Xenopus tropicalis: one gene and its partners. The protein of the gene in region 3 binds, or shares a complex with, the protein of the main gene of each other region. Links are inferred from orthologs where the notes say so. Each region holds a gene or a part of one and is shown on either strand. Other genes may lie near its edges.

The links.
Region 1: cmc1 (region 3) and smim20 share a complex: the UniProt entries of both Homo sapiens proteins name them as parts of the MITRAC (mitochondrial translation regulation assembly intermediate of cytochrome c oxidase complex) complex. The link is inferred for Xenopus tropicalis from reciprocal best matches to the Homo sapiens genes CMC1 and SMIM20.
Region 2: cmc1 (region 3) and timm21 share a complex: the UniProt entries of both Homo sapiens proteins name them as parts of the MITRAC (mitochondrial translation regulation assembly intermediate of cytochrome c oxidase complex) complex. The link is inferred for Xenopus tropicalis from reciprocal best matches to the Homo sapiens genes CMC1 and TIMM21.

What each region holds. Positions count from the first base shown.
Region 1 is NC_030677.2:31,910,532-31,921,250, forward strand, and holds smim20 (small integral membrane protein 20), read left to right. Parts: upstream 1-4,012; 5' UTR 4,013-4,096; coding exon 4,097-4,205; intron 4,206-7,193; coding exon 7,194-7,250; intron 7,251-9,584; coding exon 9,585-9,622; 3' UTR 9,623-9,771; downstream 9,772-10,719.
Region 2 is NC_030682.2:100,288,405-100,299,171, reverse strand, and holds the start of timm21 (mitochondrial import inner membrane translocase subunit Tim21), read left to right. Parts: upstream 1-4,390; 5' UTR 4,391-4,409; coding exon 4,410-4,671; intron 4,672-8,521; coding exon 8,522-8,584; intron 8,585-9,696; coding exon 9,697-9,794; intron 9,795-10,684; coding exon 10,685-10,758; intron 10,759-10,767. UniProt on the Homo sapiens protein: Participates in the translocation of transit peptide-containing proteins across the mitochondrial inner membrane.
Region 3 is NC_030682.2:48,479,164-48,488,933, forward strand, and holds the end of cmc1 (COX assembly mitochondrial protein homolog), read left to right. Parts: intron 1-4,274; coding exon 4,275-4,365; intron 4,366-6,115; coding exon 6,116-6,236; 3' UTR 6,237-6,308; downstream 6,309-9,770. UniProt on the Homo sapiens protein: Component of the MITRAC (mitochondrial translation regulation assembly intermediate of cytochrome c oxidase complex) complex, that regulates cytochrome c oxidase assembly.

The DNA of each region.
Region 1 (10,719 bases), on a different chromosome or scaffold from region 3:
GGCAACTTCGGAAAATCGTGGAGCCGCGTATGCCATCCCACTGGTGATTTACATTCTAGCCGGTGGGATGGCATTGTGGGGAGATTAGTCGCCCGCGACAACGGAGATTTGTCCCCATGTACCCCTGCCCTTAGGCAAAAGCAAAATTGTAATTACTTTTGATTTGTGCAGTTTTTTCAGTATTTGGTTTCCTACTTTGTGTCGACCTAGCCTTGAATTTTAACTTTTGGTTTAGTTTAGGGTTAGTGACTTCAAAATGATTGTGTGACTAAAGAATGTAGTTGTGTCTGCTAAGCGTAGTTACAGTCACACAAAGCTAGCCACAGTTGTTGCGCAAATATATATCATTTAATAAAAGTTCTTGCGTCTAAAGATGCACTTTTGCACAGTTTCATTTTAAAATGCTTAGAAAAAATGTTGCAAATCAAACCTAGATTTTACTTTTTTCCCAGGGACATTTTTTTATACTTATTTACTGCCAAATTTGTCTGAATGGCGCTTTTGTAAATTCTTCATTATGTACAGGCAGATTATTGGCTCCTGATAGAACTGATTTCAAACGTAGTGGACACCAAGCGCTCCGGACTCCGGGGTCTCTCATAAAATCAAATCTTTATTGTTGCATTAAAAGAAGGAACGCCTAACGCGTTTCGTATGCCAAGCACACTTATTCATAGGCTTAAAACAACTGTACAACAAGGAAGTGTTTAAATAGCATATACAGAGTGAATGACATAATTAGCAAGCTAATTCACCTGAAAGGGGGCGGAGAAATGCAAATCCGCTCAAACACATCCTAATGAAAAAAAAAAACTTTAAACAACTTTAATGAAACTCAAGAAATGACACACAATACTAAGAGAACCCCACTATACAGATATATATATAATAATAAAAATAAACAAATTCACTCTCACAGGTGTACTAACATGCAAATATCCCAGAGAGACTATTACATAAACACTTTGCAATGATTTACAAGAAGTCAGCATATATTTAGTGAACTAGTTCACTCTCATGCATGTGCAAATAAATATCTTAAAAAAGTCACGATGTAACTACCCTATAACAAGTTACAAAAGATCAAAACACTGATTCTGGTTAGAGTTATAAATACTATGATCAGCTAATAAAAGCTAGATAAGTCAATAAAATTTGTAAGAAATATAATACGAAAATAAAGAACAAAAAACAATGATGTAATCAGACTAGCAAAATGAATTACCGGTAGTATACAGAAAACTAAACATAGCAACTAACATCAAAAACTGAATTCAACCCTCTCGGGTGATGTGTATCCAAAATAAAAATCCATTTAACTTCAGACCTTAAGAGCTTTGCATACATATCAGTTCGTCTTTCATCAGGAGTTATTTTCTCTATAGCCTGGATCTGTAAAAATGTTACATCCGAATTGCTACACTGGACAAAGTGCCTAGATAATGGACTATTGCCATCTGTTGCTACTATGTGTCTTATATGTTCCCTCATACGACATTTTAAAGACCGAGTTGTGCAACCAACGTACTGCATTCCACATTTAGAGCAAGTCAAAAGATAAACCACGTATCGTGTGTTGCAATTAGCATACGACTGCATATCATAAGATCTACCAGAATAATAAATAAAGATTTGATTTTATGAGAGACCCCGGAGTCCGGAGCGCTTGGTGTCCACTACGTTTGAAATCGGCTTTTTTTCCCCTTCAGCTACGGGTTCGGGGCCCTGAGCACCCGGACCAGCCAGGGATACCGGTGAGCTATTTTGACTTGTACTGACTATGCTTGACCATTGTGTTCCTTGAACAGCATTTGCGATACGTCCGGGGTTTTTACACCCGGACCTCACTGTTTAGATTGGTACGGATTGTATTTTGGGAATTGGAGCATTTATTATCATATGCAGAGAAATTTACTTTTGTTTTTCGTTTTTGTTTTACTTTATATGATATATTATCTTACCTCTTTTTCTTTGATCCTGATAGAACTGACCTTACTAATATGGCCTTATTTATCAATTATCCAGTTTGTGAATGCTAGAGTTCTTTGCTTATTTATTAAATCAGAATATGAAAAAGTCGATTGAATAAAAGTCAAAGAAACTCAAAAATCTAAAAATGCACTTACTAAACTAATGGCAGGTTTTTGTATTAAGAACTGGGGCAACAGATGTAAATACTTGATTTAAGATTTAAAAATACCTGTCCTGATTTTTAGTTTTTGCATTGTTCTGTACAGAAGTATAGCTATGGAAAATGCCCTGGGATTTGCTTGGTTACCAAGAATGCGTGTAATATGACAGTGTTTCATGTTCAGAACTTTGGTGCTGGTATTATGCTGGTACAAGTGTTGGGGAGGTCATGTTTTCAGTCTATCGATTTCTGCATTTATCTTACTAGCATGTCTAGAATAAATGAAATCCTTATTGACTATTTTTGCAGTGATCTTACTGTCTTGTCTGAAATAATGTAATTGTCATTGTCCATTTCTAGAGCAGTCTTACTGGCGTGTCTGTGGCTAATGTAGTGCTTATTGGCCATTTCTACAGTGGTGTTACTGGCTTGTCTGGGGTTAACAGAGTTCTCATTGGCGATCTCTACAGTGGTCTTAAGCTGGCCATACACGCACCGATAATATCATATGAAACCTCATTTCGGCGAGGAGGAGGCTGCTGATATCGGTCGACTTGCCGATCGGCCAGGTTAAAAGATTTAGATCGGGCGCCATAGAAGGCACCTGAGCAAAATCTGCCGTCAGGGCTGAATTGGCAGAAGGAGGTAGAAATCCTATTGTTTCTACCTCCTTATCTGCCGTTTCAGCCCTGAACGGTTAGTGGCTGATTGAACGATCTTTCGTGCGACCGATGACAAATCGCCATGTGTGTGGCCACCTTTAGGTTGATATACTGATTATTCATTTTCTGTAGTGATTATACTGGCAGGTCTTGGGTTATTATGCCCTGATTATATTGACATGTCTGGGGTTAATACGCCTGTGTGCCTAGGGTGGTAGCTTTAGGGGGGTGGTCCTGGGGTGCTTATATAATTGAAAAAAATAAATAAAAAACTAAAAAACCTCCCCATTAGGGTTGCCAACTTTGCCAGAGGGGACGGGGCAGACGGCATTGGGGGTCGAGCAGTGATCACAATGATGTCAGTGATGCCGAAGTGGGGTTACTGCATCATTTGATGCAATTGGCTGGATTTCTGTCCAGTTTTCTCAGTGTTTTCAACTGGAGAGAACTGAACAGCCCTTTAAAAAATTTGGACGTCCATTCAAAACTCTTGTTTCAAAAGTGCCCAGGGTGGCCTTAAACTTAAATACAGCCCTGTCCTTTATCCATTTTATCTTGTAATTATACTGAAACATTTGTGGTTTATATGCTCCTTATCAATTGTTTGTGGTTATACTGACATATTTCAGTTAATATAATTAACTTATTTAATTATTATTTAACTTTTATTAATTTAAATGTTTTGTTTATACTGACATGTCTAGGGTTAAAATAATCTTTATCCATTTAAGGGATTATACTGGCACCTTTTGGGTTAATTTACATTTCCTTTTGTAATTATACTGGCATGTCTGTAGGATGTAAAATAGGTGTAGTATGTAGGGGTTGGGCCAGTTCTTTTTACCCCTCTTTATATTTTTTAAATGTTGGAAAGTATATGCTCAAATCTGTATATTAGCAGACGTGACAGGGGCATGCTTGGTGCACTGCATGGAAGGACAAACTTTGCTTATGTAGCATTTTTTTGCTACTTATTTATTTTACATACCAAAATTTGTAAAGACAAAAGAGTCATTTACTTAGGCAAACCTTATGCAGTACATGCAGTAAGTCCTTTCCTACCACAGCTGATGTATGTTCTATTTTTAGCGGAACCAAGGTAATAGAACTCTGTTTCCTCAGGTTGGGGAAGAGTTCAAGCAGAGCTCTAGTTATTAGCCAACCAGAACACAGCTTTCGTTAGTACTTGCTATATTGACAAATCATATCGCATAACACATCCACAGAAATGATTGCTGCCCGTGTCCTTGTTGCTTCCTGGTTTGCCCTTTTCTCCCATGTCTGACAAGGCTGCTTTGTGATCATGTCCAAAAACACCAGGATAGTTCTCATTTTCGGTGGTTTTGTCACTGCAGTGGCAGCAGCTTTCTACCCTATATTCTTTCACCCGCTCATGCACATAGATGAATACAGTAAGTAACCTGTAACTGGTACACAAGGAGAGCATCATTGCTACTGACATGCCAGTACTTCACATGGACACCATGATAGTTTTTTATTTTAAAGGGAATATAAATACGAGCATCGGTATTATATGGATTTATGTTATTTTAATTAATTACTTGTTCTCAGTTTAAATACTAGTTGCCAATAATTGTTAAAGGGAATTTAAACCCCAACACTTGTATGTGTTGTACATGTGATTTGTACATGTTGCGGATGACAGCTGATTAACAGCCCTGTAATAAAACTTGTGATGCTGCCTTCTGCAACATTATTTCAAGAGTCAGAACCATAAGAGTGAAGACACATGGAGCTACTAGTAGCAGCTACTTGTCACGGCTACTAAAACAGACAATGCTGATCATTTACTGATAACTGTCTCTACATGTGTTTTAGCAGAGGCAATTCTCAGTATTGTCTATGGCAGGGTGTTTAGTAGCTGTGACAAGTAGCTGCTACTAAGTAGCTCCATGTGTCTTCGCCCTAAGGGCTCTGGCACACGGGGGAGATTAGTCGCCCGCGATTAACTCCCTGTTCGCGGGCGACTAATCTCCCCGAGTTGCCTACCCCTGCCATCCCACCGGCGAACATGTAAGTCGCCGGCGGGATGGCAGACGCGGCGGCGCGATTTCGCGCAAGTCGCCGAAAAAGACTTGCGAGTCTTTTTCGGCGATTCCCTGAAACTGCCCCGCCGCGTCTGCCATCCCGCCGGCGACTTACATGTTCGCCGGTGGGATGGCAGGGGTAGGCAACTCGGGGAGATTAGTCGCCCGCGAACAGGGAGTTTTATCGCGGGCGACTTATCTCCCCCGTGTGCCAGAGCCCTAAGTGGGACAGAAAAATACTTGTGATTAAACGTACAACATTTAGTAACCCATAGCAACCAATCAAAAACATTAGCTGACCAGTAGATGCTGCCTGCTGATTGGTTGCTATGGGCTACAAGAGTTATTTTACCCCACTCTGTCTTCAACGAAGTGTAAATCAGTTCTTTGCGCACAGGTTATGGCATTAACTGTTATTATGAAATAGGTTGCAAAATAAATCTGGTGATGATAAAGGGATATTGCTCCATCTTTTTTCACAATGAAATTTTGAAGGGACACTAGCATCACTAAATACAGTTTGTATTTGTGTCTGAAAACAATGCGCAATATTCATTAAAGTGTATTTGTAAAAATGATTTGCAGAAAGGGATGCTATTTTTTCACTGTCTATTCACATATTCACTTTACTCTATGTAGATTTATCATATATTAACATAACCTATAACAGAATTATGTAGTACAGGTATGGGATCCCTTATCTGGAAACCCCTTATCCAGAAAGTTCTGAATTACGGAAAGCCCATCTCCCATAGACTCTATTATAAACAAAACAGTACCTTGTACTTGATCCCAAGATATAATTACTCCTTATTGGAGGCAGAACAGCCCTATTGGGTTTATTTAATGGTTAAATGATTCCCTTTTCTCTGTAATAATAAAACAGTACCTGTACTTGATCCCAACTAAGATATAATTACCCCTTATTGGGGGCAGAACAGCCCTATTGGGTTTATTTAATGGTTAAATGATTCCCTTTTCTCTGTAATAATAAAACAGTACCTTGTACTTGATCCCAACTAAGATATAATTACTCCTTATTGGGGGCAGAACAGCCCTATTGGGTTTATTTAATGGTTAAATGATTCCCTTTTCTCTGTAATAATAAAACAGTACCTGTACTTGATCCCAACTAAGATATAATTACCCCTTATTGGGGCAGAACAGCCCTATTGGGTTTATTTAATGGTTAAATGATTCCCTTTTCTCTGTAATAATAAAACAGTACCTGTACTTGATCCCAACTAAGATATAATTACTCCTTATTGGAGGCAAAGCACTCCTATTTGGTTTATTCAATATTTAAATTATTTTTAGCAGACTTAAGTTATGGAGATCCAAATTACGGAAAGATCCCTTATCCGGAAAACCCCAGGTCCCAAACATTCTGGATAACAGGTCCCATACCTGTATTAATATCATATTTTGCAGTCTGCCACTAGGTGGTGCTGGTAGGTAACTCTGACAGCATAGAAAGCTTTCTGTTAAAAACCCAGAACTATGGCATTGCTGCGAAAATGCCAGATGCTGTTTAACAAGCTCTGAGGATTCTTCAAATTCCCCCCTAGAAAAAAGAAAAAATCTTTGTGTAGACATAGACTTCATAAAGGGGTAGTGCTCCAACAGGGGTTCGTAATTTGGGATTTTGCTGAACTCACTTTAAGCCTTTTGTTTTAATCACAAAATCAGTATAGTTTATGTTATTTCTTGAGCTTAACAGGGAAATATAAACTACTTCATGTTTGGTTCTTGTGAGGTAGATAATAGATACCTGTGCGCAGTTAAGCAGAAGTCCCTTGTGCAGGGAAATTATCTGTGCACTTGTTTGCATGTAACAGTTATTTCCAGTGAAAGCAGTGTGCACTACATAGTGTAGTCCATATCAGGGCTGTGGAGTCGGAGGCAATTTTGGGTACCTGGAGTCGAAGTCGGAGTCGGCAAAAAATGAACCGACTCCGACTCCTACTAAATTTAAATGGGAATAAAAAAAAAAAAATAAAGCAAGTTTAAATGTCCCAATTCACAAACAGTCATAATTAATTGCTTCTCTGCTATAAGAATAAAGCCCAATGCACGCAGTGCATAAACGAACACGTTGAGTGACCATGAAGCATGCTTTTCATTGACTGTATGAATGTATAAAATACATTAGCATATTAAAAACAGAGGAGTCGGAGTCGTGGAGTCGGAGTCGGAAGTATCAGAAACTGAGGAGTCAGAGTCGGAGGATTTATCTACCGACTCCACAGCCCTGGTCCATATAGCCTACCCCATAGGAAAACATGAAACATTTTAGCTGAATGTAGCTTGTTTAGCTGTACAATATATTAATTATTTGTCTGTTTGTATTAGAGAAAGAGCAAGCTGTAAACCGAACTGATGTCATCCAGGAAAACGTACAGCCCACTGGTAAGTAACTCTTATATATATAAGTTACAAAACAAAATAAAAGTTGCTTGTTGTCTGTTTGTTGGGTGAAAACCATCCCAGGATTCATTCCTGTGTGTTTATGTATCTGCAATGAGCTTAATAAGACTAATACAGGTATAAGACCTGTTATCCAGAATGCTCGGGACCTGGGGTTTTCCAGGTAAGGGATCTTTCCGTAATTTGGATCTCCACACCTTAAGTCTGCTAAAAAAATTATTTATACATTAAATAAACCCAATAGGATTGTTTTGCCTCCAATAAGGATTAATTAACACGCAGTTGGAATTAAGTACAAGGTACTGTTTTTTTATTACAGAAAAAAAGGAAATAATTTGTAAAAATTACAAAGAGATTTGCTTAAAACGGACTTTCAGATAATGGATCCCATACCTGTACTAAATCCAGTGTGTTAAATCAGTGATTTTCCTTCCCCTTATTTGCAGGGTTGCATGAATATAGGAATGAAAAATAATTACAAGTAGTACACCCTGCAGTATTCAGTATTGCAGTTTTCAGCAAATTTGTAAAATGCACAGGTGCATAACCCATATAAACATCAGCTTTGGTCAGAATAGTGCTTGTTTGTTTAGTCCTCTGAAATGATAATTATGATTATAAATTAGAATTATATACCTCACTTCTATTGTCACTAACAGTAAATTACTATTCCGTTTATATTACGGTTTAGAGTGTTCATTTCCAAAAATTATCATTCTTTTTAGTTGTCCTGGTCCTGGAAGTTTTCCAAGACACCTATGTTGGGCCCCAGTGTTTCCTTGGGAGAGGTATAAAAGGGACATAGCTACAGCCGTACATACAAATATGCAGGGAAGGAGACACAGCTTCAGACATTGTTACATAACACTGATGGGTCATTTAGACGTGATGTTGTTTGTGTTATTTAAGTCACGATGAGCGTTTTTCTTGCGCTATTTTCCGTGCGTTAACTCCCGCAATATATTTTGCCGTTTGCTATATTAGCGCACAATTTAACGCATGTAACCATTACGTTCATAAAACTACTTTGCAAAAAGCTCACCAACCACAATTTTCTTTTAAGTACCGCCTGCCCCAAGTAGGTGTTAATCTTCGCACAGACTAATGCGATATTTAGCGTGTTTATTGCTTCATATGTGTTTGTGAATCATGCGTTAGTATTATTTCTACGCGCGAATTAACGCATCGCAGTAGCGCGTGATTTAAGGCATGCAAAATTACTTTGACGAATGGGTTGTTATTTATCGTGTCATTTTTAATGCAAAATACCATGTGATAACGCTTATCGACCTTTAGTGAATCAACCCCTTAGTATGTTATAGAATTGACTATTTATAGCAACTTTTTAATTGGTCTTCATTTTTTATTTTTTAAATTATTTGCCTTCTTCTGACACCCTCTTTCAAGTGGGGGTCACGGAACCCAGCAGCCAAAAACTATTGTTCTGTGAGGCTACAATTGTATTGTTATGGTTACTTTTTATTACTTATCTTTCTCTTTAGGCTCTCCTCTATTCATATTTGTGTGTCTCTTTCAAACCACTGCCTGGTTGCTAGGTTAAATTGAACACTAGTAACCAGATAGCTGCTGAAATTCCAACCTGCAGAGCTGCTGAACAAGAAGCTAGATAATTCAAACTCCACAAATAATAAAAAATGAAGACTAATAGCAAATTGTCTCAGAATAGCACAATCTACATTATACTAAAAGTTGAATGAAAGGTGAACTACTCTTTTAAGCACTATATGTACAGGATTGATGGCTTTGTTGTGGCCCTAGTCCATATAAATAAATGTATGTATGTAAGTATATTTTTATATAGTGCTAGTTGTACACACAGCGCTGGATTTATGTAAATAAGAATGCTCTGTGTATACAGTAAGTCAGATACAGATCAAAATGGATCATGGACGCTACTTATAAGTGGCATAGATGTTGCCTGTAATGGATTTGAAGTATTCATCTTCTTTTGTATTATGTTGTTTGTACTTTGTTTGGCAGTAAGTTTATAGACTGCAAATCTCAAATGAACCACAGACTGTAAACATTATTAGACATTCCTTTTAATATGGATTCTGCGACGTTGCCAGAGATCACAGCAGCATTGGACAAGATTAACCCTACATGCCTTATATGGAGCTTGTAACATTAATTTGGGGGTTATTGCTGTTTCCTATATCTTCTATGGAAGGAACACACAATGCCATTTGAAAGTGGCAAGGCCAGCACTAAAAGAGTTAAAGCTGTTTCAGACTGTTTGTCTAATTTCCCGTATCCAGTGTGCATTCATTTTACTATTTTTTTTTTTTTTTACAGGCTTGAAAGTGTGGTCTGATCCTTTCTCCAGAAAATAAAATGGAATGTGGCTTTGTGCCGTTACTCTGGAAGATGTGTAAATTGTGAAGAATACGCGAGCCTAGTCTTTTGTACAAAGTATAAATAAAGCAAATATTTTCATTTTTGTTTCTGATCAAGTGGACAAATAACACAAAAATGTTTCTGATGTCTCTCCATAGTTTTCAGTTTTGTCCAGTGTTGTAATGTTTGTGGAGAAGGCATCCCCCAGGCTGAAGTGCAGCTGTCCTGCACTGGGAACTGTGACAGAACACTGTATTTCATTGATTTACATGATCTTTGCTTGAATACGTTTCTCCAGTACATTAGAGGACAACTTCTTTCTATTGAGCTCAAGCTTCCTGTGTCGCAAATTTCTAAAACTATACTCTAACCTCCATATGTGATAAAAGGCTTTAAGGAGCAGTAACCTATGGGTTACTGCTCCTGGGCAGACTTAGTGCCTTTTTTATTATTTTTGTTATTAATAACATGTATTTATAAAGCGCCAACATATTCCACAGCAGTGTGCAATCACTGGGTTTATACATCGGACATAAAGAATAACATACAAAGCAACTGTTAATCGATACAAGAGCTGAAGAGGCTGCAGATTTTTTACATTTACGCCTCCATTTGAGGTTGAAAAATTAGCACAGGGCCCCCCATTTTCTTAAACTAATTGGTCTTTATGCTGAGCGCACATTTTTATCTGGACAGCAACTCATGGAAGCCGGGCATATTTTTGGCTTCTTTGTTCATTGAAAAACGAATCACTGCCCAGCTGCAAATGTATCCAGGGTTAGTAAATTCTGGTTCCATTCTAACATGTGGGTAAAGGGGGTTGGTATGTAAGATGTTTGTTCGTGGGCCAGTGCCGGGGGCTCTAGGCCACCTGGTTGGTTGCCAACCGGCCACTGCCAACAGCCACCCCCCCCCCCGTGCGCTTGCGCAGAAAGGGCGGTGGGGGGGGGGGTTAAAGGTACCGCTGCACAGTCGGGGGAGAGGGTCCAGAACCAGTGGTAGTTGACAGAAGAGGTGCCTGCCGCCCCCCCCCACCATTGCGCCCTAGGCAGGTGTGTCTTCTGCCTACCCCTAGTTCCGGCCCTGTCATGGG
Region 2 (10,767 bases), about 52 Mb from region 3:
AATATTTTACAATTGGTTAGCTTGAGTCAAGCCTATGCTAGCGGCAGCAATTTCTGAAACCGGGGAGAAAAATTCTGACTCCTGTGGCCCCCCTAGTTCTGATACAGAGTGCCATTCTACAACAATTTTTAATTGGTCTTCATTTATCTTTATATGTAATTTTTGAATTATTTAACTTTTTATTCAGCAACTCTCCATACACGGTTTAGTGTGTTTAGGAACTGTTTAGTTAAGAAAAAAACTTTGTTAATACAGTGGTGTGAAAAACTATTTGCCCCCTTCCTGATTTCTTATTCTTTTGCATGTTTGTCACACAAAATGTTTCTGATCATCAAACACATTTAACTATTAGTCAAAGATAACACAAGTAAACACAAAATGCAGTTTTTAAATGAGGGTTTTTATTATTTAGGGAGAAAAAAAAATCCAAACCTACATGGCCCTGTGTGAAAAAGTAATTGCCCCCTGAACCTAATAACTGGTTGGGCCACCCTTAGCAGCAATAACTGCAATCAAGCGTTTGCGATAACTTGCAACGAGTCTTTTACAGCGCTCTGGAGGAATTTTGGCCCACTCATCTTTGCAGAATTGTTGTAATTCAGCTTTATTTGAGGGTTTTCTAGCATGAACCGCCTTTTTAAGGTCATGCCACAACATCTCAATAGGATTCAGGTCAGGACTTTGACTAGGCCACTCCAAAGTCTTCATTTTGTTTTTCTTCAGCCATTCAGAGGTGGATTTGCTGGTGTGTTTTGGGTCATTGTCCTGCTGCAGCACCCAAGATCGCTTCAGCTTGAGTTGACGAACAGATGGCCGGACATTCTCCTTCAGGATTTTTTGGTAGACAGTAGAATTCATGGTTCCATCTATCACAGCAAGCCTTCCAGGTCCTGAAGCAGCAAAACAACCCCAGACCATCACACTACCACCACCATATTTTACTGTTGGTATGATGTTCTTTTTCTGAAATACTGTGTTACTTTTACGCCAGATGTAACGGGACACGCACCTTCCAAAAAGTTCAACTTTTGTCTCGTCGGTCCACAAGGTATTTTCCCAAAAGTCTTGGCAATCATTGAGATGTTTTTTAGCAAAATTGAGACGAGCCTTAATGTTATTTTTGCTTAAAAGTGGTTTGCGCCTTGGAAATCTGCCATGCAGGCCGTTTTTGCCCAGTCTCTTTCTTATGGTGGAGTCGTGAACACTGACCTTAATTGAGGCAAGTGAGGCCTGCAGTTCTTTAGTTGTTGTCCTGGGGTCTTTTGTGGCCTCTCGGATGAGTTGTCTCTGCGCTCTTGGGGTAATTTTGGTCGGCCGGCCACTCCTGGGAAGGTTCACCACTGTTCCATGTTTTTGCCATTTGTGGATAATGGCTCTCACTGTGGTTCGCTGGAGTCCCAAAGCTTTAGAAATGGCTTTATAACCTTTACCAGACTGATAGATCTCAATTACTTTTGTTCTCATTTGTTCCTGAATTTCTTTGGATCTTGGCATGATGTCTAGCTTTTGAGGTGCTTTTGGTCTACTTCTCTGTGTCAGGTAGCTCCTATTTAAGTGATTTCTTGATTGAAACAGGTGTGGCAGTAATCAGGCCTGGGGGTGACTACAGAAATTGAACTCAGGTGTGATAAACCACAGTTAAGTTATTTTTTTTAACAAGGGGGGCAATCACTTTTTCACACAGGGCCATGTAGATTTGGAGTTTTTTTTTCTCCCTTAAAAACGTAAACCTTCATTTAAAAACTGCATTTTGTGTTCAATTATGTTATCTTTGACTAATAGTTAACGGTTTTTGATGATCAGAAACATTTAAGTGTGACAAACATGCAAAAGAATAAGAAATCAGGAAGGGGGCAAATAGTTTTTCACACCACTGTATATAGGCTGTGCAAAATGAAAAATGTATTTAATATAGTTCATTAAATATAATGTGTAAAGGCTGGAGTGAATGAGATAGCCAGAACAAAACTTCCTCGATTGAATCGCTAACCTTTTATTCAGTCAGCGACTAGAAGGGAGGCCACAAGCTTCAAGCTTAGGCAGAAACAAAGGACGTGTGTTCACCCTTTATAGATTCAATTTTTGGCTAACTAAAACTGAAAACATGTTTTATTTTACACAACTGATCAATTCAACCACTTTTATTTTTACACTGAACTGTTCCTTTAAGGAACAGTAACAACAAAAAATTCAAGTGTATAAAAGAAATTCCAATATAATGTACTGCTGCTCTGCACTGGTACAACTGGGGTGTTTGCCTCAGAAACACTACTATGGTTTATATAAAGAATGCAGCTGTGTAGCCACGGGGGCAGCCATTCAAAGGAGAAAAGGCACTTAGCAGATAACAGATAAAACACTATCGTATTATACAGAGCTTATCTGTTATCTGCTATGTAAAGGTCCCCATACACGGGCCGACTATAGCTGCCGATATCAGTCCCTTGGACCGATTCGGCAGCTAATCGGCCCGTGTATGGGCAGAACAGAGCTGCCTGGCCGACCAATATCTGCCCTGAAATTGGCCAGATCTCGATCGGCCAGGTCCCCGAACCGACTGCACCATAAGCTCAAATGTAATCTGATCGTTTGGCCCCAGGGCCAAACGATCGGATTATTTTTTTTTTAAGTCCCTTGCTACCCGATATCGCCCAGTAGGTGGGGATATCGGGTGAAGATCCGCTCGCTTGGCGACATCGCGGATCTTACAGTGTATGGGCACCTTAACTTGTGCCTTTTCTCCTTTTTTCCAGCTTGAATGGCTGCCCCCAGCAGCTTATTATATATATATATATATATATATATATATATATATACACAGCAGCTTATTATATATAAACTATAGTATAGTTACTGTAGCAAACACACAACTTTTACCAGTGCAGGGCACTAGTATATTATATTTTATTTACTTTAAAACTCTTTAATTTTTTGGTGTTACTGTTCCTTTAAGGCTGATAAAAGCACTTTTTAATTAACACACTTCCTCCCTATTGGCCCATGCATGGATCTGTTCAGACAGCCTGTCTGACCAATTTCTGGTCAAAAATACTTCTAATATCTATTGGGCAGGTCAAAATTTCAGCCAGATGAGTGCTTAACACATTGTGGTCCTCCCCCAACAGGACTCCATAGGCCTGCCCTACGGCACAATCATTTGCCCAGGGACCATATAGCAGACAGATTTGGCCCAGCCTGTGGGTGGCTTTAAACTAAGTTTTAAGACTTTATAGACATCTTGATGTTGCAGCATGAGCTGAAGGTGTCTATGGTAGAACCCATATAATACACACCTGGCTCAGCTGACTGCTGTACTGACAAACAACTAGGCTACTTCCAATGCAAGCCAAACCATCCATCAAGCAAGTTTTATTTAGAACAGAATTATTAAAATGTGAATTTTTCATAAAAATATGTTTTGGATGTTGGAGGAAGAATAATACCACAGAATTTAAATAAAAAATAATAGTATACATGTAATATATATTAATTACCACCAGTTACCACAGCACCGCAGCACTCATTTGTTTCTTGCCCCACTATTTTACTGCTAGCAATCCTTGAACTCCTACACGTTCCTTCCCAGTTCTGTGTACAAATTGTGCCTTGAATTATTAGGTCTCCAAGGCCCAATAAAAGCACTATAACTTTCTTCATAGAGAAAAAAAACACAAATAATGTGTCAAACAACTTCTCTCCCTCACACTGCCCCACTCACCGCTCTGTCTTCGGGTCCGGCTTTTGGTTACTCTTGGAAACCAAGAACTGGGTGGAGTGTTGGTCACGTGACAAAAAGGGGGCGGGATTAGACGAAAGCTCTCTAGTTTACTTTGCTTCTCTCACGGGAATAAAATGGTACCAAACAGAATCTTTGCAGCGGGTTACCAGATACGTGATAGATAGCTGAATCACATAAGCAAGTTTATAATTGTATTATACAGCTTTACGCCTTATACATGAATACAGATATACGTTTGCAGACTTTAGGAAAGGCAGTTGCAATTTGCCTTTCGTGACAATGGCTAAACAGCAATACTATCTCTCCTTTGTCGTTTAAGCCCCTGCTACAGGTCAACAGGTGTGAGCCTGTCTGTTCCAGGCGAAATGCTTTCAGGGACTTGTAGTCCTTATGCTTTCAACAGTCGTAAGAAAACATGGGGAAGTCCTCCACTCAGAACTCAAAGTCCCACAAGCAACCGCGGTTTCTTTTTCATTGATTGGAGAAATATATGTGTAGGGGGCGTAGCTGAGGAAGCGGCAAGGCCTGTCAATTCCATGTGCCCAGAGTAAGGGCTAGCTGCGTGCCAAATTATAAACCGTGGGCTCTGAGTGAGGGGCCACTTTAGTCAGTTTACACAAAGCACTGATAATGCACGGACTGTGATGTATGTGTTGGCAAGAGGGGTACAATGATGTTGCCTCGGTGTTTGCGGAGAGCGGTCCTGTGTAGTTCTAGGGCACTGGGGTCACCTCGATCCCTGACTGTACCCTGTTACAGAAACCTCTCATGTCTGCTACTTTCCCAGCAGCGGGCCCTTGCTGTGCCAACAAGCCGGTTCTGTGCTGAGCGGCCCATAAGCACGGGCAGTGCTTTGCTACAAGTGAAGGACAAGCGAGTGTCTGTGCAAAGCAGAGGTGACGGGGCGTCTCCACAAACTGCTTCTCATAAAGGTATTTGACATTATGAATCCTGTGGGTAATGCTAATCCCATAGTCTCCATGTCATGCTTCCATTGCAGTTTGTGATTTGGGAATGAGTAGATTTGGCAGCTCTTCTGTCTTACAGTACGTGCAAATGAGTCTGGCCTTTCATATATAATGTAGGAAGGGCTTTGAGACTTTAAATTTAATTTATATACAGTGTTATTTATTTATTAACATTTATTTATAAAGTGCCAACATATTCCGCAGTGCTGTACAATAAGTGGGTTACATACATTGGACATACAGAGTAACATATAAAGCAATCAATAACCGATACAAGAGGTGACGAGGGTTATCAATGTATGTATTCTTTTGTAGCTCCACTAGTTAAAGGGTGGGTCACCCCACCCCACTCTTAGCATGGCTAGTTCTTAGCACCTTTTCAATTTGTTTTAATTTTTGATCATTTTTTAATTATTTGTTTTGCTCTTCTGACTCTTAACACTTTCAAAAGGGGGTCGCTGACCCCAGCAGCCAAAAAACTTTTACTTTTTGAAGCTACAATTTCATTGTTATTGTTACTTTTTCATGCTTATCTTTATACTCAGACCCACTCCCATTCATTATCCAGTTTCTCATTCAGACGACTGCCTGGTTCCTAGGGTAATTTGGAGCCTAGCAACCTTATAGCTGCTAAAATTCCAAATTGGAAAGTTGCTGCATATCAAGCTAAATAATTAAAACACCACAAATCTTAAAAAATGAATTCGGAATTCAGAATCACACTCTCTACAAAGTACAGAACGTTAATTTCAAGGTGAACAACCCCTTTATATGTGATATATAGACTCTTATGTAAATGTGTATAGGGATAAAGTGTGACATTTCGTGGAACATTAGGTCATGGTAGTTGTCAACATGGTCATCAAACAGGCTTGTGGCTATGATCATAGTCCAGCGATATTAAATTTGCCAATATATACATATTCATCAGTCTTAACTAGTATACAGCTCATAAGTTGGCATGGAAACAGACTTAGCCAAATACCTGTTGTTTTTTCCTTTAGAAAAATCTAGTTTTCCTGCTCACCTATCCTAATCCGGCAGTATTCAGGGCAGCACGTGAATAGACATCCCAAATGTTTTACACCTAATGACTTTCAGACTGGTTTGACGGACGGTATGTGGAAATGATCATGGACCCCTATCAGAACTTTTGACCCTCCCCAAATAGGGCCAGTTCTAAGAAGCTCTGGTATAGAGGGCTTATTGATGTATATGCTGTTTTGTGAATTTGCAAAAACTTTTGGTAACTTTTATTATTTCCAGTAAAGATATGGATGATTCAAGAGCCAAGTTCTCAGGTTGAACACATTCCAAGTAGAGAGAGAGCATTGAATTACTTTATTTCCGTAGATGCTGGGCTACCTATGGGCATTGTTTTGAATCACATCCAGAAAATCTGCTGTTCAAAATTAGTTGTTGGAAGGAAACTTACATTTTGCCATACAGTTTTGATTTTTTTCAACACCTACAACACAAAACAATTCCCTTAGAGAGCTCAGTTTTTCATGTCATAAAAAGAATGATTAATAGAGTTGCTTTCAGGTTTTTTTTAGTGAATTGTTTTTTCTGTCAGAAACCTTGAATCAAGTCTTGCTCTGATTGCTGAAATCTGCAGTTGATTGCAAAGAAATGGAGCACTTGAAATCAAACTTTTGATCAGATTTAATAGGTTTAATAAAAACTCTATATGTACAGTATTTGAAGTTTTATTTTCTTAAGGTGGCCACACACAGGCAGATTAAGCTGCGGATTTGGGCCCTTCAGACCAATTTAGCTTATCTGCCAGTGTACAGGCCTACCTGACCAACATCTGTCCAAAAATCTTTCAGATGTTTGGGCACCTTTGATTTTTCTGTTGGGTCGAGGAGCAGCACTGGCTCGTTAAAACAGCCCTCATCCCAGTGGGCTGTATCCCCGTCATTGTGATCTGATTGTTTGGCTCTAGGGCCAAATGATCAGATTAGCCCAGTATTGCCCACCTTAGGTGGGCCTATTGGCAAAAGATCCGCTTGTTTGGTGATCTTGCCATACAAACAGATCTTATAATGTAAGGCTAGCCTTACAGATGCATTCTTGGTTTATGTCCCCAATAGAGGGAAAAAATTAAGGCATTTGAGAGCACCGCCCTGCGCTAGTTATATTTGCTGCCATATGTACCACCCATCAGAACAGCAATCAAAATGTAAATGTTTCACGCTTTTTTTTTTCTTTTGCCACCTCACACCATATTGGATATATACTGTCAAAAATTCTTTATGCCTAATAAGCTAAGGCAGTGCTGTCCAACTTCTGTGGTAGCAAGGGATGGTATTATTCTGGCCTATGTGCTAGAGGGCCAATCATAACAGCCAGTTTTGACCACTCCGCTTTTTAAACCACACCCACTTCAAACTACACCCATGTTATCACAAGAGCTTTTAACACCATACCCACATTAATGGTGATAGCACACAAAAAAAAACCAAACGGTTGGTGTTCACTGCAGAGATATCACCCATAAGTCATATGTGAAAGAAGTGGATAGAACAGTCACCCAGCACATAATTAAACCCTTCAGGGACCCTTTAACAACTTTTTCCTAATGCTGACAAGCTCCCAGAACAGGCCCCCGCCAAGTTCACCTCCCACAGGCAGGGTAGGGCAGGCAGAGTATGGCACACACAGACAGCATAGGCAGGCAGAGTATGGCACACACAGGCAGCATAGGGCAGGCAGAGTATGGCACACACAGGCAGCATAGGGCAGGCAGAGTATGGCACACACAGGCAGCATAGGGCAGGCAGAGTATGGCACACACAGGCAGCATAGGGAAGCAGAGTATCGCGCACACAGGCAGCATAGGGCAGGCAGAGTATGGCACACACAGGCAGCATAGGGAAGCAGAGTATGGCACACACAGGCAGCATAGGGCAGGCAGAGTATGGCACACACAGGCAGCATAGGGCAGGCAGAGTATGGCACACACAGGCAGCATAGGGAAGCAGAGTATGGCACACACAGGCAGCATAGGGCAGGCAGAGTATGGCACACACAGGCAGCATAGGGAAGCAGAGTATGGCACACACAGGCAGCATAGGTAAGGCAGAGTATGGCACACACAGGCAGCATATGTCAGGCAGAGTATGCCTCATAAAGGCAGCATAGGGCAGGCAGAGTAGGGAAGGATACAGTAAAACCTACCATATCAATGTAAGTAACTCATCATGACCACTTCAAGATGAACAGTTTATAGATGGAGGAGGAGGTGTGAATAGGTGAACAATGCAAGAGTTTACATGTCTTAGTCTGAGGTGTGAACAGTGCAGGAGGCAGTTAATCTCAATATTGATACCATTTAAAGCTTACATAAAGGTAAGCAGTGACAACAGCCAGATAGATGGGGGTCACACAAGGGGGTCTGCGGGGTGGCAGTTGGACAGCACTAAGGTTTTTAAATTCAGACTGAAACATGTGTCTAAACTGCTACCTTTCTGTTCAGTATGTGTATTTTATGTGTTTGTTTTAAACGGATAAATTGGCACTACTAGCACTTCCAATGACTGGTGATTGCACCTGGAAAACAAATACTAGGGTGAGAGAGAAACAAAGAGAATAGTTCTTATTTTATTTTTCTATAAACCATATTGGGTTTGGTGCATCCCTATTTTTATTGTTCAGAGTGTATTTTATTTGTGAATTAGATTTAAAAAAAAAAAATTAGATAGTAGATGTGTTGTCCAATTGATTGTAGGGTTTTATAATTTATTTTCATTTGGTTTAATTCAGTTTACATGACATCACTTAATGACAACTTTGTCTTTTTTAATTTCAGTAAAAGAAGCTGGCAGAGACTTCACATATTTTATTGTGGTACTGATTGGAATCGGCGTTACAGGTTAATTTGCTGCTTTTTGCGTGGCCTAGTAGTAGCATATGTCTGTTCCTATTTATTTGCAATACTTATATTTATTTGTTGTATAATACTTATATAACAGATAATTGGCCTACATTTTTTTTGTTTTTTTACCAGTTTTTCTGACATTAAAGTTTTAAAAACTAATTGTATTTTTCCCCACCACTCCAGTTTCTCAGTAAGTCAGATCAATGACTTTCTATACAAATATAAATTATACATTAATTAATACATATCGCAGCCCCTACTAAGCATGCTTCCAAAACATAGGGGGTAGTTCACCCTTAAATTAACCACTTTTCAGATCAACTATTTATTCAACTAATACCGTATATACTTGAGTATAAGCCGATCCGAATATAAGCCGAAGTACCTAATTTTACCTAAGAAAACTGGAAAAACTTATTGACTCGAGTATAAGCCTATAGGGTGGAAAATGCAGCAGCTACTGCTAAGTTTTAATAATCAAAATAAATACCAATAAAATGACATTAATTGAGGCATCAGTGGGGTATATGTTTTTCAATATTTATTTCAAAGAAAAACAGTAAACTAGCTGTGTAAGTGGAGAAGAGGGTCAACAAAAACAATATGAGTTCTACCCCACGCTCATTGCACATTGGCAAACTGGCAGCAGACCCAGTCCCGGAGGAGATGTAAGGGGAAATAAGTATTGCTAGTGGGAGCCTAGGCCAGGGCCCTGGAGGGTCTGGTTGCGGGGGGCCTAATTTGCACACAAAGGAGAGAGGGTGCTAGTCTAGAGGGACCCATGGCACCCGACTCAAGTATAAGCCGAGGGTGACTTTTTCAGCACATTTTGGGTGCTGAAAAACTAGGCTTATACTCGAGTATATACAGTATATCAAATTTGACCTAGCATACAGAGCTTATATGAGAGGCAGATAATTGTAACTAATTCATTTTAGCCTTAATTTTAAAAAATGGTGAAAAATAAAACAATAACATTAAAAGAAGACAATGGTTTCCGCTGTACTATTAGAAAACGATTAAAGGAGAACTACTTCTTTAGGAAATTTTAGACAGAGCAAAAGAAAAAAATGTGTTCATGGTTTTTTTTTTTTTTTTATATCTAGGAGGACTTTTCTATGTTGTCTTTGAAGAACTTTTTTCTTCTTCAAGTCCAAGTAAAATATATGGAGAGGCTCTTGAAAAGTGCAGATCTCATCCAGAGGTAGAGTACCAACTTGCATTCTGCTCAAACAGGAAGTTGACACTAAACTGGTTACTGTGCATGCCTTCCCTCTCCTGCTTCACTTGCATTTCATTGATTGGATTGGCTGAATCTTGGCAGCCAATGGTATCAGATATGCAAATGGAGCAGAAAAGGAAAGGCATGCATTGAAACAGTTCTCTGTGAACTTTTTTTATTTGGCTATCTGCCATGTCCTGTTCTGGGAAATCACCTACAGAAGGAGTACAGAAAATATTTATGCAAAATGTCTTTTTTTTTTTTTTTTTTTTTAAGATCTGTATTGACTGATGCAAATTACTCATGTAGCATAGGCTATACACTTATATGGGATGCCAATAAAAAAATGACACGGGTTATAGACACCATGCTTAGAGACAACCCTCTCAAAACTGATTTTAATTGCTCCAGCTGAAATATCCAAATGAGGTGTGACTTTCATTTACAAGCGAATGAGCAGATGTCTTGGTCATATTTATCATAAGGTTGAAAAGCCAATTCTCTATAAAATTCTCAGTCATTCCTATACACAATAAATATGTCCTTTGTAGTACTGGTAAAGGTGGCTATACGTGGGCAGATTTAAGATGCTAGTTTGGCCCCTTCAATCAGAGGCATCAGCTTATCTGTCCATGTATGGGGCCCTCCAACTGGCCTTAAAAATCAGCCAGATATCAGTCAGGCAGGTTTAAAAATCGTGCCAGGCAGAGACTGCATTGGCTTGATGGACCAAGCACACAAAACAGTTGCAAAGTTTACTATAGTCTATACAGGCTAGCTGCTTGCAAAAAATATTTGATTAACCAATGTGATGTCCACCTTCTTTGCTTTAACTTGCTTTTACTTAACTTTTTTTCTTTAACTTTTAAAAGGTTATTGGTGCTTTTGGTGAGCCCATCAAAGGTTACGGAGAGACTACAAGACGTGGTAGAAGACAGCATGTCAGGTAAGTTTT
Region 3 (9,770 bases):
TCTCAAAATAGCAATTTTCTATTTAGGAGTACCCAATAGCAAATACTACTGAAAAAGTATAATTTTATGAAATAGTAAAATACGGCCCTCAGGGTCGGAACTAGGGGTTGGCAGAAAAGGCACCTGCCTAGGGCACGACGATGAAGGGACAGTAATCAGGTACTTCTGTTCCCTACCCCTAGTCTGTGCTCTTTTGTCACTGTGTACTGCCCCCTTGATGTCACCTTGCATGTGCGTGTGTGTGTGCGCACTTGGTGGGTGGCTTCGTGGCCGAGGTGGCTGCCTGGGTTGCCTAGGGCGCCCAGCCTCTAATGGCCCTGCCTGAAAGCAGAAATAAAGAGGGAAACTTTATTTATGGCAGTACAGATGCTTCACGTCTAATTTTATAATAATGAAAACATTCAGTATTTTAAACTTTAAGTTAAATTTAAGCAGTCCTGTTTCTTTAAGAGATCCCTTAAGTTGTGCAGTCTTGCAGTGGCAGTGTATTGCTGCTATCTCCGAAACATCCTGTTTTATTTATTTATTTTGGCCACCAAATTAATGACTTTGTTCCAGCTCCCAATATTTAGATTAATCTCATTCTTGTATATACCCGTGCGCAAATTAGAATAATTCTTTAATCAGCTGTGCTATGCATACTCTAACCGGATAGCGTTTGCAGAACGCACCCTCCTCATGTAGGCAGGCATGTTATTATTTATGAAAGTGATTTAAAAGTAAAATCAGAAATATTGATTTCTACTTGACTGGACAGTTGATTTACTTTGAATATCAGCCTCATCCTAATCAGGTAAGAATTAATTAAGTCAGATATTTTAGATATTCAGTCATGTCAACTGAACCGCGATCAATCTAGGCCTGGTTGGCATCTGTAATACGTCGCAAATACCAAGTAGCTTGTGCGCTTCAGTATGGAGTAATGCAGTGCAATATGTGATATACTCTGACTGCTGATCCTCTTACCTTCGTGGCTCATTAATTGCACCTACTAAAGCTTCTCTGAGCACTTGCACAGACTATGTTTGGGAGTTACAACCTAATCAGCCTTGATCTGACACCAAATTAAAGATATGCTAGCTTTGTCATGAAATTGCTTTTGGAATCTGCTTTTTGCATCCTTTACAGGTTTTGCAGCTAGGTTACAAGCATTTAACTGTCTGTATGCTGAAAAATGGCCTATGGGTTCAGTACAGAGTTGCAGTCTCCGCTGATGATAATGCTGGTGAATGTGTAGATGGTATTTGAACAAGCTGAGCAATAGGCCGGCATGGGAACTTGTCCTTAGAAAGTGAGAGGCCTCTGCTGTGCGCCTACAGCTGTTCAGCCGACTCTACCTCGGATGCTCTTTGTTTAATGCCTGCAAATCATATCACTGCTCAGCATGCAGAATAATAAATAAATAAGAGTAGCCCTCCCTATTCATAGCAAACACTTCCATTTATCTGAAGAGTGTGATCACAATATCTGAAGTGTTGCGATAATATACATGTGAGATGACACCTCAGTAGGGTCAGCTATTAAGAAGAAGAATTGTAAAGAAGTTTTTAGCTGCAACCAGGGCACAGCAGAGAGTTCCACTGCGCGCTCTATATGTTGTGTTTGTTTTTAACAAATCGGTGTGATGTCTCGGTGGCAATGCAGTCACTAGAACTCATATGTCTTCTGCAGTGCATAGAAATGTATCGATAGTCATTCTGGTGCCAAATATTTTATCTATATATGTAAAAGGATTCCGATTGAATGGTTTATTTCTGTAAATATGGAGCCTGTGTCAAAAGTGTTTGAACGTGGTTATTTTATAGAGGGTTCATGGTAGATTACATAGGATCCTCTGGCCATAACAGCATAGTTGGATAGTTTTGACTGGTTTAAAAAGATGGATTTTCATGACTCTCAAAAACGGCTTAATCCAGCCTGCTAGGTTTTGTCATGTATAGTAACAGAAAGCACTTAAAAAGTCCACTATTGAAATGGTGAAAATAAAAAGGAACCAAAAATGTTAGATCCTTTTTGATTGGAGCTCTATTTCACAGTTCTGGTGAGCATAAAGGAAACTCTGGCTTGGTAGTAGACATAAGAGAAAATAGAAAAACTGCAATAGTGCAAATATCATTATTAGCTGAACTTTACTACCTAAGTCAGTGTACTTAGATAAGCCAAAAGACAGTGTGGCATATAGAATGAGTATGGGCAGCTCTACATGTTTGGTGAGGGCCAACCAATGTCCTGTGGTACTTTGGCCAGTCTTACCAAGAGTCATGTTATTCATTAAGAATGATAGCATTTAAAGGAAAAAGAAAGGTAAAGTCACTTGGGGGTGCCAAAATGTTAGGCACCCCCAAGTGACTTTAACCGCCTACCTTTTACCCCGGGCTGGTGCCGCTGTCAGGAGAAAACAGCACCAGCCCGGGGTAGCTGCCGGCGCTTCCTCCTTCCGGCTTCGCTGCGCGCGCATGCGCAGTAGAGTGAAAAGCCGAACTTAAACATTTAAGTCGGCTTTTTCGCTCTACTGTGCATGCCCGGCCACCGGCAGTTTAGGAAGTGGAAAGCGGAAGGAGGAAGCGCTGCGCTCCAGGTGCCCCGGGCTGGTGCTATTTTCTCCTAACAGGGGCACCAGCCCGGGGTACAAGGTAAGCAGTTAAAGTCACTTGGGGGTGCTTAACATTTTGGCACCCCCAAGTGACTTTGCCTTTCCTTCCCCTTTAAATAAGTTTTACCCGCAACCTGCTTTCCAGCATTCATACTTGACAGGGATCACCTGACTGTGACTGGGAGAGTTTAAACATGAAGCTGGTTACTGCTATTGTGTTAATTATAGTAAAAGGTGGGAGTGTAAAGATGGTGTGACAAAATTTGTGACACAATCCTTCCAGCTTCTTTTTTACCACTGGTTCTTTGGGGCCTGGTGATACTTCACTGCCCTGCTCTGTAATGCCTTCATGGTGTTACTACACAGTACAACTAAGAGACTGCAAAAACCGTAATCTAGAAATTTTAGCAACCCAGTGGCAATGGATCTGATTTACTAACATGGCTAAATTGCACCTGAACAATTGTAAATAGCAACCAATCAACAATTCATTTGGATCCATATTATACAAGTTAAGGTGGCCATACACGGTGCAATCTGCTTGCTTGCCGAAGTCACTAAATTAGCAGATTGCTTCCTGATATGCCCACCTAAGGTGGGTGATATTGAGCTAATGTAATCGTTTGGCCCTAGGGTCAATACACAGCAATCTGTAATATATCGATATATATCGGCTATATGAAATACAACATATACTATTTCTTTTCATGTGAGTGTGGTTGGTATGTGTCTGTGTATGTGCCCTTGTCCAGAGAAACCACAGAAACAATGTGGCATGAGAAATGGCAGCTTGAGCCGCTTTTTTCACCCAGAATAGTTTTTCTTCTGCTTTTCTTCTAAGGTGTGAGGCAGCAGCTACTAATAGCTTTAACCACCAGAACAGAAATTTGCTTTTTGTACACCCTCCTTACAGTATTTTTCCTTATAGTTTTAAGGGGAAGTTTACATTCACACTTATTAGGTTAGTAAAAGAGTGCTTTGTGGCCTGTATGATTTATGTTGCGTGACATTTTGCAAGTGCAATGTGACCTGGCAGATTTGCCCATTGCACTTCCATTTTAATTTACTATTAATTTGTTTAGCCTTAGAGTGTTCCCCCCCCTTTGTATAGGTGGCATTACTGTTGGAAAACCAAGAAAATGATAATGGCCCTATATAACATCAAAAAGTTTATACTGGCTGCGCTAGTACACAATAAAGGTAGAGAAGAAAAATAAATACATGTGTTAATACATATACAGGTATGGCATCCATTATCTAAAAACCCGCTACCCAGAAAGCTCTGAATTTCAAAAAGGCCATCTCCCATAGACTCCATTTTAATCATATAATTCACATGTTTTACATAATTAACTTTTTCATCCAGGTATAGCTCCATATAAAATATTAATTTACTGTGACACAAATGTGATTCATTCTTTCCTCTTGTGGATCAGTTGAATGCTACAGTACATGGAATTTATATGGGTAAAAGACTGAACTTGACATGTGTCTGTGCCTTTTTGTACCTGAGCTACAATGCTTTTGCAGCAGTACATAAAGCACAGACTTGCAATGCAGTGACAGGGAAAAAATGTAAGCCAGATGCCATAATGCAGTTATTTACTGCAGGTTGTTGTGTCTGAACTGCAGTATTGAACAATAAATTCAGTACCATGCTGGTTTGTGTATTTTTTTCCAGCTTTTACAAAATGTTGCAAGGAGAGTGGCCTCCTGATGGTGGTGAAATGCCGAAATGAAAACGCAGCGCTGAAGGAGTGCCTGACTCTTCAGTAAGTTGACTTTTCTGTTTTGATATTTATATATAATAGCCTTAAAAACTGTGCAAACATTGTATAAAGTATAATAATAAAATAAAAAATTTTGGTTTCCTTTAGTGCAAATATCATACATGATTTAAACATGATTATTAACTAGGGACAGTCTTGTAATTCAGATTGCCTCTCATGTGCTAGCCCAAATAAAAATCCTTAACCCTGTAACAGGAAAACCCTCTTTCTTTATGGTTAGTAGATAATAGGCCATATATACTAAACAGAAATATCTGTAAGATTCCTTCAGTTATTTCCAATAGGGGTAGTTAATGAAGAATTTGCATACATTAAAAGCAGCCCTGTCAGAAAGGAAACAGACTTAAATGACACCTATCAGGCTAACAGAGGCTGCACTATTCTGCATGCTTGTGTCCCAGAATGGCCGCCCACACCAGGAGCTCCCTCACAGAGCGGGCGGCATAGTGCCGGGGGTGGAGAATAGTCTCCCCCAGTTCAAATGCAAGCTCTATTATCCCACATCTCTGGTGGGGGGAAACAATTTTCCTCAATACGTACCCTGTACAGTGTTGCAGAAATAGTATTGGTATTGATATGGAAGTGGTAACTGAGGAGAATATTTAAGGCTACATGCTCTGCAGTGGGGGGAAATTGCCATCAAACAGAGGGGATCCCAGAAGACTAAAATTGCCTGGAAGCTATTCTCAGTAATAGCCTAAATTTATAATGACTTTCAGCCAATCACAGGAGCAAGTCACACTTTCCTGTCAAATAGTATTCTGGCCTTTCTCTTTGTTATTTAAGATTTTGCATATACACACCAGACAAATATAAAGGGAATATGATGAGATTGTGTAGTGGCCCCTGACATAGAGGCAAGCTGAAGTAAAGAGAGAGAGGCCACTGTTTAGGCACATAAAGCAACTATATATATACATATATACATACATACAACCCTACATATATTCTTTTCCAACTGATAATGCCAATATCACAGTGAAACTTAGGCAAAAAAGGCATAGCTACTAGCACTTAACACAGTGATGTACACACTCCTGGCTGATACTTATACACAGCACCTGGATCACTACTCCGCGTTCTTCACTTGCAACTATCTCTGGTTCCATGAGCAGGGAATTGGCAGCAGAAAGGAGGCAATTCAGTTACAGAACAGGAGAGTAAAGAACTGGAACTTGTAGGAGAGGGAATTCTTCTGTATTATATTTTACATGTGTATATATACATCTTTTATTTGGAAACTGATTATCCAGAAAGCTCCTAATTACCAGCTCCTGTCTATTAAAGCAAATGATTCTTCTCTGTAATAGTAAAACAGAACCTTGTACAGCACAAACTCAGCAAAAAAAATCCTATTGGGTTTAGTTTATGTTTAAAAGATTTTTTTTTAGCAAATATGTGGAGGCATTTTTTCTTTTTTTAAATCTTAACTTTCCAAGATGTATTATGCAACAAAACTGGGACAATTCCGAAACCGAAAACGCTTTATCTAAAACCTGTCGAGATCATGTCACAGTCAATGGCAGAAAGATCCCTTATGCAGAAAACCAGGTCCCAGGCATTTCAGATACAGGTATGGGACCTTTCTGGAGCCGGAACTTTCTGGATAACAGGTTTCTGGATAATGCATCCCAAACCTGTAAAAGATCCCAAACTTGTAATTCAAAATGGATTCCCTATAGATGTACTGCTGCTTCCTTATTGCCATTGTGTTGTATTCTTATTCCCAAAGCTACAAAGATCCGGCTTTATATGAAGAATGCAAGCAGGAATATTTAAAAGAAAGGGAAGAGTTTCAAAAAACAGGAATCTCGTCAAAGAAAAGGCAAGAGAAAGTGCCAAATAGTATATAATCAAACTGTCTTCTCCTGAGTGTTTCCCCATTTCTAGTTTCTTATAATAAATGTTTCTTTTGTAAAAAAAAAGTTCTGTTTATCTGCTGCTTTTATTCTCGGCTTCTATATCCGCATTGAATTATTTTTGTTTCAAATAGGCAGGAACTCATTTAGGCAAATACCATGATGATATCTATATAGAAGTGTTTGCTGTAAGAGTTCTACGTGCCGCAGTATGGGGCAGGGCCGAGACACATACGGCCGAGCACCTTATTGGAATGTGTGGAAACTTCAGTACTTTTCCTGCCCCTTCATTTGATTTCAGTTTGCTAAAGTATTGTGGCTATATATTTTAGCCGTGCTCCCATAGTTGTGTCTGTGGACATGGGAGGGTACAAAGAGAAGACTGCAGCTTTAAGTTGCACACCAGAGTAGAAGACTGCTTTGTGTAAGTGCAGATATACAGTAAGGGACATACAGTATTAAGGCATAGGAATGGTAGCTTATCTGAAAGTGTGTGCAAAGATGGAGTTGATATCTATATATGACAACTGTTTCACAGAGCACTATGGGAAATGTAGTGTTTGGGGAAATGGATGGAGTAGGTTTACCCCTTCCCCTATTACACCGATTTATAGCGAGTGTGTAACACAGTAAGTAGGCTTGATAAAGGGTGGTTGTCTAGCCTTTGGCAGAAATAAAATTCACCTTTTTCACCATTTCAGAGTGCTGTACCGTATTTTACTTTGTGAATCATCGATTGCCCCTGGCAGTGGGGACGAGCCTGAACTCACAATACCTATGTATCACTGCTTAAAGGTGTTGTTCACCTTTAAATTAACTTTTAGTATGACATACACAGATATTCTGACAATTTGCAGTAGGTTTTTCTTTTAGCTATTTAGCTTTTTGTACCACAGCTCTTTGTTTGGAATTTCAGCAGCTATGTGATTGCTAAGGCCTTGTTTACCTTAGTACTCGGGAAGTGGTTTGAATTAAAGACTGGAACACGAATAGCAAAAAAAAAAGTAACAATAACAATAAAATTGTAGCCTCACAGAACAAATGTTTTTTTGGCTGCTGGGGTCAGTTTCCTCCCATTTGAAAGCTGGACAGATGCAGAAGAAATAGGCTAATAATTAAAAATTTATAAAAATTAAATAATGAAGATAAAGGACATTCTATAACATACTAAAAGTTAAATTTAAAGTGAACCACCCTTGTAATAATTAATTCAACATTGTAAAAAGAAATATTTCATGACCTGCATGACTAAATGATCCCCCAGATCTGGAAATAGAGTATCCATATGTGAACCAATCTGCTTAATTTCACGTTATATTGTTTTACACATGTGAAGGTAACCGGTTTGTGTCACATGTCCATGCTGTAGCATTATACTCATGTAGTATCAGCTCTGGTAAAGTTTAATTTAAAGCTTGCAAAACATACAGCATGAGGCGTTATGGAGCAAAGGTTGATATTAGTTTAGCAAACAAGACCCTGAGACTAATCCAGTTGCTAGTGCCGGGGTTAGAAATGAGCTGTCCCCAAGCTAGAAATATATTATATATTGTTTAAATAGTTCATTGACATGGAAAGGCTTTTCCTTAGCCTTACTGTTTCATGTTTACTAAATCTGTCAAGGTGCCTTATGGACAGACATTTTTACATTAATACACGACCATTAGACAGATTGGTGGCTTAGTGGGAAGCACTTCTATGCCTTGCAGCGCTGGGGTCCCGAGTTCAATCCCAGCCAGGATACTATCTGCAAGGAGTTGGTATGGTCTCCCCATGTCTGTGTGGGCTTCCTCTGGGTTATGTGGTTTCCTCCCACACTCTAAAAACATACAGGCAGGTTAATTGACTACTGACTGAATTGACCATGGTGTGTGAATGTTGTTAGGGACTCAGATTGTAAGCTTCTCTGGAGCATGGACTGATGTGAATGATAGAATGTTATAATATAAGGGGTAATAGCTCCATAATAAAATACAGGTATATTTCTAAACAAACAGCTGCTGCTGGATATAGAGTATGTATGATTATATTGAAGTCTATGTGACTTCTAATGCTATGACTGTATCATTAGATGTAGGATCTCATTCCACAGAATTGTGTCCAAATATAAAAGAACTGTGAATATTTTTTTTAATGTTCTCTATGTTATAGAAGGTGTGTGTAAATATTTAGTAGCAGTGACAATAATGCAATGAAGATCTGGACGTAATTTGGTTACACCGACCTGCTTGATATCTTACAAAAGAATTACAATAATTTTTTCAATAAACATTTTATTGTAGAGGTTTACAGTGTTAATGCAAATAAACGTATTTACAAACCAGCATATATTATATTCTGTATCTTCTATCATAGTCACGGACATCATTACACAGATAGCTAATAAACCACATCTCCTTGTACACTTCAACAGACAAATAAAAGTGAACACTATTTATATGAGCAATCAGGCCTTTCTCATTGCTTTTGAAGAGCGTGACCAGCTGACTAATTATATAAAAAAAAAACCCAGCAAGCTACATTAGTGATCAGAGAGAATGAGTGCGGCCACCAGAGAAATCCTTGCTTCTGCTGTGTTATTACACAGGTAGTTGATTTTATCAGCTAAAGCCTAGTGAGTAGGATTTGTTTTATGCATATTGGCTTGTGTTCTATTATTGTGCTGTAGGCTGTACTCCCTTGGGACTCAGCTCTATTCATTGGTCACAATGCGTTTCAGCGTGTCATACCATTTGCATTACTTACAGACCGTAGGCTCAAACATGATCAGTGTCTACAAGAATCCAGCGGAACAGTACTATGATGTTTGTGAATACTGGTTGCCAAAAAGAATTTCTCTGGTTTTTTTAAACCTGCTTTCAAGCTTCCGGATATCCAAGCAGGAACATTGTCAAAATGTGCAACTGCTTAGCCAGCATGAGAATATTCTGGAACTAGTGCCGGCTCTATCGCTTAGAAGGTTCTATCATTAGAATGATAGTTCCACTTTAAGGTACCGTGCCCTATAAAAACGAGAGGTCAGCAGGTTGTGCAAATATACATACTATGGTAGGCGCAAACTGCCTGAATCTGATGGAAGTTGCATAGCCCCACACTTCAGGCCAACCAATGAAATAATGCTAAGCTAATATACAAATAATATAAAACCTCCAGTGTGCTAAGTGCCTTTGAATTCCAAGTATTTAATGAACAGATCTCAAGGGAAATGTAGCCTTAGGTTGGCCGATGGCTTCCTTTCTAAAAGTGGTGACTGTAGGCATTGGCTAAACATATTTTTCTGTTTTGACACAATAATACTGATCTTAGGGCATCACATGTAAATTTGTCAGAACAGCCTACAGAAGGAAGACTAGCAACAATTAGGGCATACAGTCTGGTCAGCTATAGCAACCATTTCTACAACAAACATAACAAGTAAAGAAGAATACCAAGCACATCTGGTGTTTCATTATATGTAGCACAACTGGACTGGCAATCTGAATTCTGGCAAATGGCAGAGGGGCTACTGTAAGTCACTATTTAGGGGGC